Linked DNA regions of Macaca mulatta. The main gene of each other region encodes a partner of the protein of the gene in region 3 in a complex. Links are inferred from orthologs where the notes say so. Each region holds a gene or a part of one and is shown on either strand. Other genes may lie near its edges.

Region 1 (4,006 bases), on a different chromosome or scaffold from region 3:
TTACTTTTTTTAGAGGCAGGGTCTCACTTTGTCACCCATGCTGGAGCACAAGGGTGTCTTCATAGCTCACTGCAGCTTGGAACTCCTGGGCTCAAGTGATCATCCCACCTCAGTAGCCTCAGTTACTCAGTTGGGACTACAAGTACATGCCACTGCACTAGGCTAATTTTTAAATTTTTTTATAGAGACAGGATCTCACTGTGTTGCCCAGGCTGGTCTCAAACTCCTGGCCTCAAGCAATCCTCCTGCCTTGGCTTCCTAAAGTCATGGGATCACAGGCATGAATAATCCCATTACGCCACCTGGAGCTCATAAGCCACTGCGCCTGGCCACAATCTCCTTTTTAGACCATATTATCACAAGAAGAACACTGACTGAGAGACTCTGTACCCAATGATCTCTAGGGAGTGATTTTCAGAACTCCTAGAAGGAAAACGCTGTGGTAATCGCTCCAAGAGGCTCAACATTCTTCCTAGAGTCTCCTGTGATGCCCTGAAGTTGGCACAGGTGTACAGTTCTGCATCAGCAAGGTATCTCACCTCTCTGAGCCTCACTGCCTGGGCTCCTGTGCAGAGCTAGACTAATACCACCTACCTTGCAGGTGTGCCACAAGCATTACAGAGCAGGTATTTAAGGAGCCTGGCACATTGCTGGCATTAAGCGACAGCTCCTGTTGTGCTGCATTTAACACCTCTCCAACAGCATCTCCTTCAGGACAGACTCTGAAACCACCTTCCATTTCACAGTGACAACCAGCTTTGACATGTGTTACTGTCTGATCTTAACTCTATTTTACAGATAAGAAAAGTGAGACTCAAAAGGGAGAAGTGACCTGCTCAAGGTGACAAAGCCAAGAAGTGCCAACCGCTATCCTGACTCTGCCCCTAAGAAACCTGGACACCCCGGCTGTGTTCTCCAAGCTCAGCTCTTCCCACTAAATGCATTCCTCCTGCCGCCTCTGTCCTCTTACCCACGACATCCAGCTGGTAGGTGTGGTTGATGCTGCCATACTCATTCTCCACAATGCAGGTGTAGTTGCCCTTGTCAGAGGGCACCACGGAGTCCATTATGATGCTCCAGGTGGCATAACGGACCTGAGGGGAAATGCCGAAGGGATACTTTCAGAGTCTGAAGGAAAATACAGGCAGAAGCCCCATGACAATGTTGGCACCCCGTGGCACCTGCCCTCCATATCAGAGTCTGGTGGCACAGGGCTCCAGGCTGCAGGGTTGGCTAGGACAAGGCGTGGGTTGCCCCCACTACCAGCCCGTTCACACTCTGCAAGGTGGTAGATGGGGTGTAAAGACTCTGGAAGTCTCCACTGTGACGTTCAAGGTCATTCGTGATCTGGACAGATGTGCCTTCTGCAAACACTTCCAAATACACCAGGAATGTTCCCAACTGTGCACCTCCCCTATTATACTAAGAATCCAGCCCCTGTTGCCCTTGACAGCTCATTTCAAAAACCATCTCCTCCAGTCCACTCTCTGGTCAGAACCGTGCTCACCCTTTCCTCTGCCTACCAGGGCACTGATCACAGTCTGCTTTTTACGGTAGCCACTCATGGACATTTGACTCTGATGAGACTGGAAAATTTTTATGGGCAGGAACACTGTCTTGTAGCATTTAAAGCATGGTGTCTTGCATGTAGTGAGTGCATGGTGAATTAATTTAAAATGTTTCTGGCTGGGTGCGGTGGCTCATGCCTGTAATCCTAGCACTTTGGGAGGCCCAAGAGGACAGATCACTTGAGGTCAGAAGTTCAAGACCAGCCTGACCAACATGGGGAAACCCCGTCTCTACTAAAAATACAAAAATCAGCCGGGCATGGTGGCCTGCACATATAATCCCAGATACTCGGGAGGCTGAGGCAGGAGAATGGCATGAACCCGGGAGGCGGAGCTTGCAATGAGCCAAGATGGCATCATTGCACTCCAGCCTGGGCGACAGAGCAAGACTCCGTCTATAAATAAATAAATAATGCTTACACCCTTTAAGTTGTTAATTTCACTTGTAACAATCTGTCCTAAGGAAGCACACTTAAAAATGCTGACAAGAGATTCACTGCAACATTATTTATTATGGTGAAAAACCAGAAAATACCTAATATCACAAAATAGTTCATTAAATTATGGGACTTTTTTGTTGTTTTTTGGAGACAGAGTCTCGCTCTGTCACCCAGGCTGGAGTGAAGTGACATGATCTCAGCTCACTGCAACCTCTGCCTCCCGGGTTCAAGCAATTCTCCTGCCTCAGCCTCCCGAGTACCTGGAATTACAGGAGCCTGCCACCACGCATGGCTAATTTTTTGTATTTTTAGTAGAGAGGTTTCACCATGTTGCCCAGGCTGGTCTCGAACTCCTGAGCTCAAGCAATCTGCTCACCTTGGCTTCTCAGAGTGACAGGATTACAGGTGTGAGCCACTGTGCCCAGCCAAATTATGGGATTTAAAAATAATGGAATCTTATATGTTTCAAACATTCATGCTTGAAATATATCATGAAAACACTCATGTTAACAAATGACAAGGCAAGGAAATTATTATACATGACGTGATCAACTATGTAAAAACCATATTACACAGAAAGAAGACTGAAGAAATTTTTAAACTTTATTTGCATTTTTTTGCATTTAAAAATTTTAATACATAACCTGTATAGGTAGAAAGTATTACTTAAAACAATGAAAAGCGTGTAATCAGGACTTCCTAGCTCGGCCTCCCCTGTTCCCGTTACTCAACTTTAGCATGCACACACACGTACCTTGTAGCCTCCAATCCTGTGGTCAGGTTTGAATTCTTTGCCATTTTTCAACCAGCGCAGTGTGGGGTTTGGGGTCCCACTGGAAGGGCATTTGAACTTCACTGTCTTGGCAGCTGGCACCGCATGCAATTTCTTTTCCATCTTTTCTGGGGATGTCCAATATGGAGCTACGGCTGCCCGGGGAAAGCCGAGAGAGAGAGGCAGGGTGGGGAGGAGCAGCTGGTCAGGCTCAGGAGCAGGGCCCAGGCCAGGACCTGGGGGTGCCCTGCCCATCTGCCCAACACCTGTGAGCAGTGCCTGGCACTTAGCAGAACAGGCATCGTGACCCCATGTGCCCTCTCCTCCTCCCCTTTCAGCCTTCCCCTCCCCTCTTAAACCCAACGCCCAGACCCAAAGGGCAGTAAGATAGGAAACAGTGTCTCACGCATACGGTTTGGTTTGGTGTTATCTGTCTCTTTCTCCTCTGAAGAGGAGTCATCATCATCATCATCATCCTCTGAGGAGGGGAGAGCATCTATGGGAAGAAGAAGGGGCACTGAGGTTCCTCCTAGGGACCCCTAGATTTCGCCAAGGCTAGTGCAGTTCCAGATGAACACAAACACCCTCCCCACGGGGATACCAGTCCCACTTCTCCCTTAGTGACGATCTCTTGGTGGGATGGAAACTGTTTAAGAACAGTTCCTGTGCGTGTTTCCTTCCTTCCCCAAAGCACTGCTCCCACTGCCTGGAAGCCTTCACACTGGGTGGTTCCATCAGGGTCAGCTGTTCCTCTTTAACTTAATTCCGTCCTACATTCAAAGGCTCTCTCTCAACTTGTGGTACCACCTGGGTGTGCTGGTGCCAGGCAGCGTGTATTCTTCTTTGGACGGCTGACTACAGGGAAACCCAGGCAGGTCTAGACACATTGTAGCTAGATGCTATTTCCAAACGATGGGCTAAACACTCCACAGTCAGAATTTTTCTAGCATGTGTCCACTAAGGTTTGGGGGCTGCCCTCCCTAACCAGAGCAGATAGGGCACCCAACACCCCGGCAGCTGCCAACACCTCTCCCCAGTAAGTATTTATTTCTTGTAAGAACAGGCTTGACACACATGTTATCTCACCCATCAGGGTTCATGCCAGATCTTTCTCCAGTCCTTCCTATCACCTTTGGGGATCTGGTGCCAAGTCCGCACCCCGAGGTGCAAAATTGGCATAAAGAAAATTTCAGCAACACTTTCTCAACTCCTAGTTTTGTGAAAGT
Region 2 (4,433 bases), on a different chromosome or scaffold from region 3:
AGAGGAGGAGGCCTCCAAAAGTCCAGCCTCCCTGTCTCCCCACCTGGAGACATTCCTCTTCAGAGTTTCACAATAAAGTCAGGAAAAAAGGGATCTGGGGGCTGGGCAGGCTAAAGAGGGCTTGCCAGGGTTATCCGGCCTAATCCTTCAAACAGCCTGCCATTATCGGTTCTCTTGGACAGGTGAGGAAACTGAGGTTCGAAGAGGGCACCTGAGCCTGGGCTGGCAGTCTGGAGGTCCAGGCCAACCCCTTACCCCACCAAAGGTGGCTCCACTCCCAGCTCATTCACTCCTCAGTCACTCAGGTGAGGGCTGCCTGCCTCCCTAGATGGGGTGACTTTGGACCCCCCTCCTCCAGGAGACCCCCAAGCCCCTGGACTCCCACCCAAGCTCAGCTGTAACAAGGGGTGCCCCATTCCCAGTTCCAGCTCCAAGTACCTGAGAGCTGGGGGGCTGGGGGGTGAGTAACGAGGGGTTCCTAGGCTCACACAAGGACCTGGAGGCCACGCTCAGCCCAGGTTAATGAACCACCCAGAGGCCCACGCGGCTCAAAGTCCAGCCCGGCAGAGGAGGGGTGGGGGAGGATTCAGTCAGCACCTTCAGGAAAGACCCTGCACCCCGAGACCCCTGCTGGGGGGTGTGGCGCTGTGGGAGAGCCGACCTTGTCTTCCTCCCTGCACCCTGGGGGGTCCCCCTAGGCTCCAACCAGGAACACAGCCCTCTGGGGAGATGGCGGCTGTCCTGGCAGGGCCTGGGGTGGCCAGGGCAGTCCAGGGGCCAAAACCTTCCCCACCGCCCTTGACCACTGCCAGCCAAGGCTCCATAATTTATGTTCCCAGGCAAGCGCCAGCCTAGACCTCAGTCCATTTCACGAGGTCTTTGTATTTTTACTGCCCGGCCCATCTTGTTAAGGAACCGGATTAAATTTATTGACCGATCAACTCACTACCTGTTTCACCAGCTCCAGTGCGGGCGGGGTCGCCGCCCCAAGGCGGGGGGCGGGGCGTTCCAGGGGCGAGAAGGGGAGGCCCCGCGCGCCCGCCGGGGATCCGGGAGACGCTCTGTAGCCTGGCCGCCGCCCCTCCCCGGGGCTGGCTGACATTCCCGGGCCGTAGGGAGTAATATCTTTATCTGAATGAGAATACGAAAGCCAGGCTCCCCCCGCGGCCGCCCCTCCCGCACCCCTGGAAGCGGGGCCGCCCGAGCAGGCGCTAAAAGCGCGCGCTGACCTCCCGACGGCCCCTGTCACGCCGCTGAATGACACGCACATTCAAGCGCCGGGCCACTTTCATTCATAAAAAAAATGACATTGTTCCGGGAGGCTGCAGCCGCCGCCGGAGAAAGGGGCGCGGGGGCGCGGGCGGGGCGGCCGCCATCTGCCTCGGCCCTCCCGGCGCCCTCCCCGGCCCGCCGCGCCCGCAGCCGCTCACACCTCCCCGCGAGCCGCCGCGCCGCCATCAATGCGCGGTCTGTGGCCGCGCCGAGGTACAAAGGAGCGGCTGTTCGGGCCTGGGCCCGGGTGGGGCGCGAACTCACCGGGCCAGGGCCTCCCTCCGCGCGGCCGCCGGGCTGGGCTGTGCGCGCCCCCTTCGCCCGCCCGGAGCCGGCAGCGTGTACGGGGCGGCGGCACCGGAGCTCTCGGCCCGACCCGCGAGGAACCGCGGCGCGCGTGCAGGGCGGGCCGGGCGCCCCTTCCCCTCACCTCCCTTCAGACACTTGACGTCCCGCAGGACCTGGACCGCCAGCCCGGTCTAGGGCCCGCGACGCTGGGACACGCGCTCCTCGCTCGCCTGGAGCTCGGCGCGCACCCACGGGGAAGCGCCCTCAGCCCCCAGGCACTGGCAGGGTCGGCAGCGGGGGCGCTGGAGGCTGCAGCCTCGTCCGGCGGGCAGGGGCCGGGCTTCGCTGACGCGCACACCCACCCTCAGAAGTCCGGCCTCTCCCCTTGGCCGAAGCTCGCCACAAACTGGGGCCCGGGGGAGGGGGACGCCAACAATGGGAACTTTCCGTCTGCGCAGAACCCGAAGAACAGCGGGAATCGTGGAAATGGGGAAACCCGCGCCCTCCCGACAGGCCAGGGCTGGGGAGCCGCAGGGGACGGGGCTGCGGACGCCAACCCCCGGCCTGGCTCCCAGTGGCGGCCTCGCATTTGGGGGGTACCTGCGGCTCCAGGCGCCCCACAAGTCGCCGCGCTACCGCTGGCCGCGCTCTCCGGGACGGAGACAGCGGAATCCGGGCGCTGACCCCGGGGCGTCACTCACACCCGGAGTTCCCTCCGACCTGGGGCCGGTTCCCGTCCCCAACGCCTCTGCCCGCACGGGCCGGCCCCTCCCGTGCCCAGTGGGTCCCTTCTTACCTGCCACTCGCCCCACGACGCGCTGCTCCGTCCCCAAGGACTCCGAGGAGGCGCCGGCCACGATGGCCACTGCCACGCAGAGCGCGAGGGCGCAGGCAGGGGCGCCCATGGCGGGGGCGGGGGCCGCGGCGTCCTCAGGCGGCGCACGCGGGCATGCTGCCCCCCACGGCCCGGCGCGGGCACCGGCGGGAGGCGGGCGCCGCTTGGGAAACTGCGGGAGGAGGAGGGCAGCTCGTTAGCGGCGCGGGTAGGGACGAAAGCGGCGGTGGCCGGCTCCTGCGCCCCGACCCCTCCGACCCCCAGCCGCCCCGCCCGCCGCCGCCGCCGCCCAGAGCTCCCGGGCCGCCTGGCGCCGGCCGCCTCCTCCCCGCCGCGGTTCCTCCCTCCTCCCCCTTCCCTCCCTGGCTGCTGCAGAGCCCTCCCAGGGCGGCGGCGGCGGCGGCAAACTTTCCGGAGCGGGAAGCCCGCGCCCCGGCCCGGCCCGCCGCAGGGACTGCTGTGGTTCCGCGACTGCCGCGCCCCGGCCCCTCCGCGCGCACCGTTGGACCCCTCCGCGCGCCTGCCCGGACCCAAGCACCGACCTGGCGGGCGCCGGAGTCCGGCTCGCTAGGCGCGGCTCCCGCTCCGGCTCGCTGTCCGCAGGCCCAGCTCCCGCCCCGTCCCTCCGGCCGGCGGCCCGCCGGTGCGTCCGTGCGACCGGCAGAGCAGGACCGCGCGGCGCCAGCTGCTCGCGACGCCGCCACCGCCGCCGCCGCCGCCACCGCGCACTGAGCCTGGGTTGCCCCGCGCGCCGCAGCCAGTGGGGGACGGTCCGCGCCCCGCCCCGGCCCCGCCCCGCTCCCGCCCGGCCCCCGCCCGACTCGCCGGGGCGCAAGGCACGCCCCCTCGGGGCGGAGCGGGGCATCCGAGGGGGCGTGGCCGGGCGGGGGCGCCCGGCGGTCTCGAGGGCGTGGGAGCCGGGGCAGGCGGGCGAGGCCCCCAATCGCACCGCGGGGCGGCCCGGTGGGCGGTGGGCACGGGGCGCACCGAGGGCGAGCGCAGGCTTCCGTTTGCACAGCGCGCAGCTCGGGTCCCCTGAGGCTGTGCTCAGGAGCTCAGAGGGGAGGTCTCGGCGGGGGTCGGGATGTCAGGAGGCGTCGCCAAGATGCCGCGGAGCTGAACCCTGTGGTGTGAGCGGGAATTCCTCAGGTGGAGGAGGGCAGGGCGGCATTCCAGGCCGAGCCTCCGGTGTGCGCCGCAGGCCTGGGGCAGCCCGGTGCGGCCTGCGTACCTGACTGGCAAGGAGCAGAGGCTGCGTTGACTAACCTGGGGCCGAGCCGCATGCACCTAAGCCGCCTGAGTGCCCAGCCCCGAGAGGTCCCTACCCCTGCCCCCCAGGAGGACACAGGCCTGGGACTGGCTGCCTGCCCGGCCTAGAATGAAGGGCAGGGGCTGGAGACCCCTGGCTTGGGGAGCGCAGCCCGGCTCTGAGGGAGAATAACGAAGAGCTGGTGGCAGAGCCTGAGCTGGCCCGAGGTTCTAGGCTCCACGGGGCGGGCTCAGAGTCCAGCTGAGGAGGGTTGGGACTGGTGAGGTGGGTTCCCAGGAGGGGAAGATACTGCCCTGCGGGGGACGCTGCGGGTGTCTGGGTCCCCTTACCCCACATGACTGTTAGCTTCTGTGTCCACCCTCACAAGGAAAAGGCCAACTGCTCCCATCTTCAGGCAAAGCCCAAGGGGGTCCGGAGCCCATGGGAGCCAGTGAGCTGGGGGGAGGGCCGGCCGAGTCTGCTGCCCGCCTGGCTTGTGGCTTCCAGGACTAAATGTAGTCATCAGGAAAATGGGCGCTAAAAGTCCCTCAGTGACTGGCTGTTTGCTGACCCTACCCAGCCCATGCACAGCTCAACCCTGCAGCTCCCAGAGGCCAGGGTGTCCCTGGACTGACCTCAGGGCCTTGGAAGGGCTCTGCTCCCAGGGAGCCCTCATGCCCACCTCTCTGTGCCCACTTGGTGGCTCAGCACTTGTCCTCGGCCACCCTTGTTTCCTGCTCTGGCCAAGTCCATGTCCCCAGACCATCTTGGGGCCCAGCCTCACTAACC
Region 3 (4,581 bases):
AAGAATCTGGTAGGCAGGAGATAATTTCATTTTGTCAAGTCCAATGACCCAAAGATGGGTCGTGCACTCAACTCTTAAGAATTTCTCACAGCAAAATAATAAGATGAACCAGAATTCACTAGAAATGGATAATTAGGAGTGGAAAAAATACCCCTCACATTTTAGGTTTCCGTCAGTGTAAAAACATTGCTTAACAGTCACTGATGAGGTCATTACAAATCCTTCACCAGACATTTAATTAGTTGTGATTCTTATCTACGTGCATTAATCTTTCCTCTTTCTTTTTACGTAACTTTTTTTTTTTTTTTTTGAGACGGAGTCTCGCTCTGTCGCCCAGGCTGGAGCACAGTGGTGTGATCTCAGCTCACTGCAACCTCCGCCTCCTGGGTTCAAGCAACTCTCCTGCCTCAGCCTCCCAAGTAGCTGGGATTACAGGCGCGCACCACCACGCCCAGCTAATTTTTGTATTTTTAGTAGACACAGGGTTTCCCCATGTTGGCCAGGCTGGTCTTTAACCCCTGACTTCAAGTGATTCTCTTGCCTTGGCCTCCCAAGGTGCTGGGATTATATGCATGAGCCACCACACCTGGCCTCTTTTGGGTAACTTTTAATTGTATTGTGTAATTTTTTTCCTGCACTTTTTCCCCCCCATAATACACGTGACAACTGATTGAACAGTACAAAAAGTTATCTACATAGACTAGGAAAAGCAGATCTTTCTCCCACTCCCCTGACCCTAAGTTCCCCTCCCCATATTCGTGTTTAACTCTTTAAAGATGCAATGTTTAGCTAGTGCCTGTGTCTAAGAAAACAAAACCGTATTTCTGTTTTTAAAGATCTGAAGTCAGTTCCATTTGTTTTGCTGCCTCTCAATCCTTTTAATTCAGCTAGCACTCAGTGATCCCTTGGGGCCTGATACGAGGTGGGTTTTCAAGGAAAAGGTCTACAGTTCAGAATGCCAGCCCAGGAGGTCGACTCTTCACACTCACTCCCCACCGTAGCCAGCCTGTTCCGTTCTACCCTAATTCTTGTTCAGGAGGAAACGTCTTTAAGGAGTTCCTTTCAGCAATGGGATTCCAGGATTCGAGACAAGTTGTGTAAACATTCTCTAGTTGGATGCCGCCCTTTCCATCTAAGAGAATCAAAACAATTTACCATCATCTACTATTCTGCATTTTAAATCACATAGAGTCTTGAATTAGAGTAAGAGTGGCCACTCCATGAGAGGCGCAAAGTCGCGTTTCCTAAAGTCTGGTAGTGAGCTAGCTGACAAGGCAGGACGACAGACCACAAGGTCCTTGAGGGGTTGTGTCTTACTTTTCAGTCACAGAGCTTGATAGAATGCCAGGCACATTGTAGATCCTGTTAAATATCCATTGAATAAAATGAACAACACTTGGGGTTCATCAAGTATATCCAGATTTAATTGAAATTTTTGCCACGAGACTCACACTTGGTTTCCAAGATGTTGACTCCTGAGTCTTAGTATATCCTCTAGAGTTCTGGAACCTGTTTGGTATTTGGAGAGAACTTTTCTCTCTCCTTTTATCTCCTATCAATATGCATCTAGCACTTGAGGAGGTTTAAACTGTCAATTTCGCATGTCATATATCTTGCAACTTAATTTTGCATGTTATATATCTTGCAACCAGGTTTAAGGACCTTTGGTTCCTAGAAGAATAAATGCCTCACACACAGCAAGGTCACAGCAAAAATAATTAACTTATTACAACAATAAAAGGCAAATCATAATTCCTATGTTTTCTTTAGTTAGAGATTGTCTAACTAATTTTTCTTTCCCTTAATTTGAGCTATATTGGATCACTTTGCATTTTTATATATTCTTAGAGGTATTCACATGTTTTCTTAAAATAGAAGATCCAGTCTTTTTCAATATCCCTGCTCCCACCACATTACCCCTTATATAGGTGCGCACAAAGTGGCCCTCATTTGAATCATTGCTAATGGATTGATTATTGTGGATTGTGATCCGATTCTCCACAAACCTGATCTTTAAAAACATTCCAGTTGTCTCACATTGCCAATAAGTTTCTAACTAGCTTGATTTGCTACTGACTGGACACCTTTCAGTTCCACGGAGAAGAATCACCAATGCGTACTGGGTACCGGGGTACCTGAGTATCTGAAACAGCCTTTAAACCTGTTAAAGTTTAAAGGTTGGATGGATGGATGCATGGACAAATGAATGGGTGGATGGGTTGTATACTTGGCCATTCTCACCAAGACAACATTCCTGGACAGTCTGTGTTTAATACATTTTTCCAAGAATTTTTATAAGGCCAGAATTGGAAAGAGCCCCCAGATTTATCTATTACAATCTGGGTATGACCTGGGAATCTTCTTTCCAACCTGCCTAGTTAACCCAGCCTGAAGTCCAGGAGCTGAAACTTAGTGTCTGTTGATCTGCCTGGCTTCTTTTTCTCTTAGACTCCTTGCTTTTCTTTCAGTATATTTTCTGAATCTTTTGATGGGGCAAAGGGAATATGGCTCCTACTGTGGGAAGGGTTTTAGTTTAAACAAAAAGTATGCATGTTAGAAAAACCAGCAAATACTAATTAGGAGAGTGACAGAATCTTCCCCTAAGATTTAAATACACACACACACACACACACACACAGACAATAAGTGGTTCCTGGGCAGAAAGCTTGGAGGGTTGGATTAGCCCTCCAGTCTAGTCCCCAACCTCCCCAAGCCCCCTGTAGATGGACAACAGGGGCGCACCCCTTCTTCCCAGCTTGAAGTCCTACTCACTGTAGATGGTCTGATGGGGTGCGCCATCCACGTGGCCATTCTTGTGGATCTGCAGGTGGTAGCTGTTCCTGGCTGTGGCTGTGTACAGGTGGATCAGGCCACCCCAGCTGGAGCCGAGCAATGGGGAGGCATTGGGATAGGCTCTGATGACGCTCATGCTGCAGACGCTGCACAAGGCACAGACCCAGAGCCTGAGGCGGGCCCCCAACATCACGCCCTGCTCTGAGTGGCTGGTGCTGAGATTGAAACCTGACACTCCTGTCGGGACTCTCCTGGCCCAGGCCTCACTGGCCTTTTCCTTCTCCCTTGCAAGTAGCTGGTGTGAGGATCCTAGACTGAATTCCCTCCTTTTTGCCATCAGACTTTTAAAGGGTAGCAGTGTGACATCAAACAGGAAAAACTCCGCTGTCCACATCCTCTGTGTTGTAATCAGCCCATTGAAAGAGAGTGCAGAGACCCCGGAGGCGCACGGAAGGCACGTCGGTTCCAGACACACACACCCCCCTCAATTTCAAGCCAACGCTCCAAAAAAATGAATGACGCGTGGGCAAAAGTTATCTGCCGCTCTGGGCTGTCTGTTGACCTGTCCCACGTCCATCAGGAAATGCGAAGGCAGCCAGCGGTTCCCAAAAAAAATCCAGCTTCAGTCAAGCAGTCAACCGACTCCCAGGCAATTAATCTCCCGTCGAGTTTACTTATTTTGGTTTTCTTTAAATTCCAATCAGCAAGTATGTATCCAGTGCTTAATCTATGAGCAGGATTCGGTGGCTAGCTTGTAGGATATAGAGATACATGACACCGTCAGGCAGATGGCATCCTCTGAGAACCCCCAATTCGTGAAAGATGGGAGCTGGGAGCAGGGGCACAAAAACCAAAGTTGCCATTTTGGGAAGATTTTGAAATGGAAGAAAAAGAAGCAAGGTCTTGAGGTCCCTGAACATGCCAAGGTTCGATTTCTCAGCGTCCTTAGTTTGGACTTCGCTGAACATGCCAAGTTTCAATTTCTCAGTTTCCCTAGTTTGGACTATCGAGGACAACTAAATGAATAGTCTCTCCAGGAGTAAGGAGACCCGTTCAGAGACCTCATGGGGATTGGAAAGGCTGCTGGCTGAGCACCGGGAATCCGAGCCTCAGGACAGGGTGTCCCCACATTTAGTGTCTGTACATGAGTGCTCAGCTTGGTGCTGGATGCCTGCCTGCAGATGCTGTTCACAGTGCGCCCTCTGGGAAGCTACACCTCATGTTGGGGGAAATAGTCCTGGCACGCACAGTCTAAAGGGGAGCAAGCTACTGCAACATACACCCGAAAAAATACCCAAGGAGACTGCTCCTCTTCCAATTTCCCATGTACTGAGTACATGCCATGTACAGGCATCAAGCTAGACATCACGTACAAGTTGATATAGGAGACAGCAAGATGTGATTCCTATCTCGAGGAGCTCAAATCTACTGCAGGAGGCAGATAAAAATAAGTAACCGTAATACAAAATGAGTGCAAGCATACAGGTATAGACAGAAAGAAATGGCATCTGTTACCCTACATTTGTGCAGTTTTTTTTAATAGTTTACAAAGCATTTTCACATCTATTAGCTCATTTGAACCTCACTGCCACTCTGTGAGAGGGGCACACCATGCATTATCAAGATTTTAATACTTTACATGGAGAAATTGAGATCTCAGTTTTTCCATGTCAAAGGCACAAAGCAAATAAATTGTAGAGCCAGGACAGGATTTTCTCCTTCCCCAGGCTGCTTCTCCAACGAATCACAGCAACAACTAACACTCATGGAGAGCTTACTGTTCCACTT
Region 4 (4,709 bases), on a different chromosome or scaffold from region 3:
TCATGCTGCACTGGGGCATATCACCCTCATAATGCATACACCACACATGCTGCCTGGACCTCCTAGGTCACACATCCAGTGCACAGAACACACACACACACGCGCGCGCGCACACACCCAGGCAAGGAGCTCACCACCAGCTCTGCGGCCCAGCTTAGGGCCCTGCACCCTGCGAGGCCAGTCCTCTCTCGCAGACACAGAGATACATGGATGCTTGCTGGAAGCCAGGCACTGACTGAGTCTCAGTGGTTGAGCCCTGCCCTGCTGCCACTTTCTCAGGGCCTGGGCAAGGATCCTTTCCAGCTTTGCTCAGCCCAGCAGCCCCCTCCTGGTGCCCACTCTTCCCACCCCTGCCACCCTCTCCCCCCTCAGAAGCCATACCCAGCTCCACTTCCTCCGAGGCCTCCAGGGACAAGACTGGAGGCCCAGGCACACTCAGCAGGACCCCCAAGAGGGCCGACAGCAGCCGCATCTCCTTCCCGCAGCTCTCAGGGGCCCAGGCTGGACTTCCCACCAACTGCCTTCCTAGAATAGGGGGGGAAAAGAGCTCCTGCTCCACATGCACCTTTGCGGGGGCTTTCCCTTATTTTGCAGATGAGGAAATGGAGACAGGAAGTGGCCAGTAGATGTGTCCAAGTCCCTGGCCAGGCTGTGGCAGTGCAGACTGGAACCAGCTCTGCTGTAGCCAGAGCCTGATGCCTTCCTACAGTAGGTTGTGCAAGGGGTCTGGGCTGGGCTTCCTGCTCTCCTTGAGTCCTGCTGGGACCCTGGCACACGTTCACAGAAAGCAGTTTTGGGATTCTTTTCTTGGAGGGAAGCAGAGAACGGAGACTATCTTCTGCATGCTCTTGGCACACGTAATTTATTTTTTGCTGAATAAATGAATTGATTGCCGAAGAGCCAAAAAACAAAGTGAAAAATGATACAAGGCCAAACTTCAGCATCTGGATGTTATCTGATCCAATCCCCACTCCTTATAGCATTACTGACATTTCCAGAGCTGGGCGCCCACCACTGACAAGGCAGCTCCTTCCGTAGCAAGCAGGACCGCATCCCTGAATACCTCTGCTTGTCATGCACCAACTCCATCCGAGGTACACACGGTTTTGTAAAGAATACAGACCGTAATTATCCATCCACCAGAGCCAAGTTCAAATCCCGACTCTCATCAACTTGTAATTCCTTGTCTCTGTCTCTCTCTGGGTTACTATCCTCATAGGACTGTTTTGAGGATAGAAGAGACAACGTGCATCGGCACTGGGCACACAGAGTGTTGGAATGTTCTTCTCCCTGTGCCCGGCCCTAGAACTGTTCACCTGTTGCCCTGGGTCTGCCCTCAGCCAGTCACCTCTGGTTCGGGTGCTGTTACTGTCAGGCTGTGATGTACACACACCCCAGCTGGCTATCCTCTTCCAAATGCTACCAAGGACACCTCTGTTCCCCAAAACAGAACACTCAGAACCGAGTCTCAGCTGGGACAAAGGAATACTGTGATCACTGCAGTCCTAGGGGCCTATGGGTGGCACTGGTGTCTCTGGATCTACCCTGTGTGGGAAGCCTATCACACCTCCTTACCCTTGCTCACTGCCACTCCACTTCCAGTCCATCTGGCTTCCCCTGCCCTGACTCAGGGCAGGTCATGGCCATCTCTTGCATGGGCCTTTGGAAACATCCTCTCCCTGGGCTCTTCAACCTTCATCTTCCAGCAGAGTTTTAAAAAACTACAAGTCTGCCATGTCATGCCCCCAGCTTGCAAGCCCTTAATGGTTACCTGTGCCCAGCAGGATTCAGCTCAGCATCCTAGGGCTCCCTCTGTTCCGCTGCCTATCTCTTTGGTCACACCGTCTGTCCCTTCAGGAGCGCTGAAGCCATTGGCTCTCAAAACTGGTCACATATGCTCTCTTGCCCATCCCTCTGTGCCCCCCATTCCTCTTCTCTATTTGACTCAGATACTGCTGTCTCTGAGGCCACTTCAACTCTCAAATCCAGTTGGATCCCCCTTGGTAAAACCCCCTACCAAGCTCGGCTTGGCAGGGAGGGCAGCTCTTTGAGTACACAGCTTGGGCTGGGAGTGGCTGGGGAGGCCCGGGGATTTTATTCCTACCCCAGGCTGCCCTGATATCAGAGTCCGTGGAAAAGTCACCCGTGGCTGCTGACCGCTGACCGACCACCCCACACGTGGGAACAGAGGGCCTGCCTTAGGCATCAGACAGCCTCCCGCACTCGCGGTGGAGGCCCCCGGGCGCTAAGTGACTGAAACTTTCGGGGCCTCAGCTCCCTCATCTCTGCCGCCGGCGCGAAGACAGCCGCAGGGACAAGCTTGTCCTCCCCCACCCTTGCCGGGCCAGCCTGGGGGGAGGTGCGAATCAATGGGTCCCGAGGGTAGCTGCACAGGGCCGGCCTGCCCCCGCCTCGGTGGGCAATGAGTAACCAGCTCCGCGGCCAGGGTGCTCTTTGGACGGAGCGGGACAAAAGGCCCTGTGTGCACTGCGGGTTACTGATTTACCGCCCCCTCCACCCCCTGCCGCCCGGCGGACGCCCAGGTCCCCTGCGCCGGGAGGGGCAGTCCCTGCAGCCCCGCCGCCGCTCGCCCCCTGGCGGCTGGGAGCGCAGCCCGGGCCCGCAAGGGTTCCGGCTCACCTCGAGCCTGCGTGACTCCGCGCCCTGCACAGGGTCCTGGTCGCCTGCCTCCTACTCACCTGGCTCCTCTGCCGCCTCACTCCCAGCTCCAGCCGGCCGCGACCCGTGCACCCGGCGGGGTCCGCAGACAGCCCAAGCGCTCCTCAGCCGGGAGCAAGGAATGTACCCGCGACGGCGGCGTGGCCGCGGGCGGCCCACCTCCTGCCCCGCCCCTCGGGCCCGCCCCTCCTGCTCGGGCCCGCCCGCCTCCTGCCACGCCCCCTCGGGCCCACCCCTCCTGGCCCAGCTCGAGCCGGAGAGAGGTGTGGCCGGCGGGGGAGGTGGCCAAGAGCCCCGCCCACCTGGAGACCCGCCGCCGACCCAGTCAGCCCACTCCAGGGACCCCGCCCCAGCCTATACACACACCCCTACACACACCCCCTATACACACCCCATTCAGGCTCCTCCTCTTTCGCCCCACCCAGGCTCCAGGCCAGGCTTCTAAGTTCTAGTCCACTACCCAGCTCTACTGCTTGCTTTTCACCCCTCAGGGAATGCCTGGCTCCCCTGTCTTCTGCGCAGTACCGTGCAGTGGATAGGAGAACCCCTTCCTTCGGCTCCCTCATTTGTTCTCTGCGCAACCTGGGGAGTGATACTTACAACACAAATCTGACTGTGTCAGCCACTCCCTTAAATTTTCCTATAGCTTCCCATAGCTCTTTATACATAGATTATTGCCATGACCCACGCCTCCTGGCTCCCTGCTACTCCTGGGCAGTTTCAGGTACCATTCCCTCTTCCTGGAATGCCCTTTGGTCTGGTTAATTTTATATTATTCTCAGCTCACTTCCTCCAGGAAGCCCTCCGGACTTGCAAGCTCCTCTTAGATGACTTCTCTGTTGTGAGGATGGAGAAAGAAGCAGAGTGAAGTGGTTCAGAGCACAGACTACAGGGCTGGACGTCATAGGCCCAGCTCTCAGCACCATCACACAAGGCCTCGGTCTTCACTGTCTTTTCAGTGAAACAGGCAAATGATAGTCTCACCCTCAAGAGGTTGTTGCAAAAAGTAGACATGTGGCTGGGCGCGGTGGCTCAAGCCTGTAATCCCAGCACTTTGGGAGGCCAAGACGGGCGGATCACGAGGTCAGGAGATCGAGACCATCCTGGCTAACCCGGTGAAACCCCGTCTCTACTAAAAAATACAAAAAACTAGCCGGGCGAGGTGGCGGGCGCCTGTGGTCCCAGCTACTCGGGAGGCTGAGGCAGGAGAATGGCGTGAACCCGGGAGGCGGAGCTTGCAGTGAGCCGAGATCGGCCACTGCACTCCAGCCTGGGCGACAGAGCGAGACTCCATCTCAAAAAAACAAAAAGTAGACATGTTAGCAGTATATGTAAGCCTGGCATGCAGCGCTTGCTTTGTAATACTAGTGAAAGGACACAAAGATAGATGTGTACCCGCCCCCCACCCGCTACACCCTTGTTCTGCTCTCTAATCTTTGCACATACCAGAGATTTCGTAAGTTCTGTGAGTACCTGGTTTTCTGCACGTACCAGAGATTTTGTTTTGCACATACCAGAGGTTTTGTAAGTTCTGAGGCAAGGTCACAAGACGTGTTTAAGTAAGATAAACTCTTGCTGCCATAAACCTGCTCTCCCGCCTCAAAGTTTGAACCAAAATATCAGAAATGGCGGGAACCAATCATAGTTAGCCAAATCGCCTTGTTCAAACACTAGCCAATCATATATCTGATTTGTATAATAACTCTATGCCCACTTTTCTTAGACTATATAACACTGCTCGGAGCTCAGTGGGGGAGCTCTCCTGCCCGTCTCGTTTCACGAGCGGGGGAGAGTTCCAGGTTCGAACCTGTAATAAAGATCCTTGCTGCTTAGCTTTGACTCTGGACTCTGGTGGTCTTCTTCGGGGAATAAACGGTCTGGGCATAACAAATGGGGGCTCGTCCGGGATTTCCCCCAAGCCCACCAGACCCCCAAGTCAACGGATCTTAATCTGTAGGTAAGCCGGCTTTGTCACTGTCTCTGTCTTTGTCTCTGTCTGTCTCCCTGAAATTTCGTGAAATCCGTAATCT

Evidence for each region.
Region 1: the proteins of FGF23 (region 3) and FGFR1 are in contact, whole or in part, in a cryo-EM structure (PDB 7YSH), measured with the Homo sapiens proteins. The link is inferred for Macaca mulatta from reciprocal best matches to the Homo sapiens genes FGF23 and FGFR1. Residues at the interface, in NP_065689.1 of Homo sapiens: Leu31, Leu32, Gly33, Ser34, Trp36, Gly37, Tyr43, Ala45, Thr46, Ala47, Arg48, Asn49, Ser50, His52, His66, Ile75, Arg76, Ser77, Glu78, Asp79, Ala80, Gly81, Val83, Val84, Tyr93, Phe108, His117, Gln118, Thr119, Asn122; in NP_075598.2 of Homo sapiens: Glu159, Lys160, Glu162, Lys163, Lys164, Leu165, His166, Ala167, Val168, Pro169, Lys172, Gln244, Asp246, Val248, Glu249, Arg250, Ser251, Pro252, Val279, Tyr280, Ser281, Asp282, Pro283, Gln284, Pro285, His286, Ile287, Ala314, Gly315, Val316.
Region 2: the proteins of FGF23 (region 3) and FGFR3 are in contact, whole or in part, in a cryo-EM structure (PDB 7YSU), measured with the Homo sapiens proteins. The link is inferred for Macaca mulatta from reciprocal best matches to the Homo sapiens genes FGF23 and FGFR3. Residues at the interface, in NP_065689.1 of Homo sapiens: Ser29, Leu32, Gly33, Ser34, Trp36, Tyr43, Ala45, Ala47, Arg48, Asn49, Ser50, His52, Ile75, Arg76, Ser77, Glu78, Asp79, Ala80, Gly81, Val83, Val84, His117, Gln118, Thr119, Asn122, Gly123, Tyr124, Asp125, Leu158, Ser159; in NP_000133.1 of Homo sapiens: Glu157, Arg158, Asp160, Lys161, Leu163, Leu164, Ala165, Val166, Pro167, Arg223, Asp244, Leu246, Glu247, Arg248, Ser249, Pro250, Val277, Tyr278, Ser279, Asp280, Ala281, Gln282, Pro283, His284, Ala312, Gly313, Ala314, Thr316, Thr317, Asp318.
Region 4: the proteins of FGF23 (region 3) and FGFR4 are in contact, whole or in part, in a cryo-EM structure (PDB 7YSW), measured with the Homo sapiens proteins. The link is inferred for Macaca mulatta from reciprocal best matches to the Homo sapiens genes FGF23 and FGFR4. Residues at the interface, in NP_065689.1 of Homo sapiens: Leu32, Gly33, Ser35, Trp36, Gly37, Tyr43, Ala45, Thr46, Ala47, Arg48, Asn49, Ser50, Ile75, Arg76, Ser77, Glu78, Asp79, Ala80, Gly81, Val83, Val84, Tyr93, His117, Gln118, Thr119, Asn122, Gly123, Tyr124, Asp125, Leu158; in NP_001341913.1 of Homo sapiens: Glu156, Lys157, Lys158, Leu159, His160, Ala161, Val162, Pro163, Asn166, Asp240, Leu242, Glu243, Arg244, Ser245, Pro246, Lys272, Val273, Tyr274, Ser275, Asp276, Ala277, Gln278, Pro279, His280, Ala308, Asp309, Ile310, Ser312, Gly336, Asn337.

The regions. Positions count from the first base shown.
Region 1 is NC_133413.1:40,368,724-40,372,729, forward strand, and holds part of FGFR1 (fibroblast growth factor receptor 1 precursor), read right to left. Parts: intron 3,277-4,006; coding exon 3,193-3,276; coding exon of another isoform or gene 3,187-3,192; intron 2,936-3,186; coding exon 2,763-2,935; intron 1,095-2,762; coding exon 971-1,094; intron 1-970. UniProt on the Homo sapiens protein: Tyrosine-protein kinase that acts as a cell-surface receptor for fibroblast growth factors and plays an essential role in the regulation of embryonic development, cell proliferation, differentiation and migration.
Region 2 is NC_133410.1:1,910,132-1,914,564, reverse strand, and holds the start of FGFR3 (fibroblast growth factor receptor 3), read right to left. Parts: upstream 3,159-4,433; 5' UTR 2,938-3,158; intron 2,568-2,937; 5' UTR 2,466-2,567; coding exon 2,357-2,465; intron 1-2,356.
Region 3 is NC_133416.1:5,266,027-5,270,607, forward strand, and holds the start of FGF23 (fibroblast growth factor 23 precursor), read right to left. Parts: upstream 3,052-4,581; 5' UTR 2,984-3,051; coding exon 2,773-2,983; intron 1-2,772. UniProt on the Homo sapiens protein: Regulator of phosphate homeostasis. Inhibits renal tubular phosphate transport by reducing SLC34A1 levels. Up-regulates EGR1 expression in the presence of KL. Acts directly on the parathyroid to decrease PTH secretion. Regulator of vitamin-D metabolism.
Region 4 is NC_133411.1:186,050,058-186,054,766, reverse strand, and holds the start of FGFR4 (fibroblast growth factor receptor 4), read right to left. Parts: upstream 2,885-4,709; 5' UTR 2,700-2,884; intron 2,358-2,699; exon of another isoform or gene 1,772-2,357; intron 526-1,771; 5' UTR 473-525; coding exon 382-472; intron 1-381. UniProt on the Homo sapiens protein: Tyrosine-protein kinase that acts as a cell-surface receptor for fibroblast growth factors and plays a role in the regulation of cell proliferation, differentiation and migration, and in regulation of lipid metabolism, bile acid biosynthesis, glucose uptake, vitamin D metabolism and phosphate homeostasis.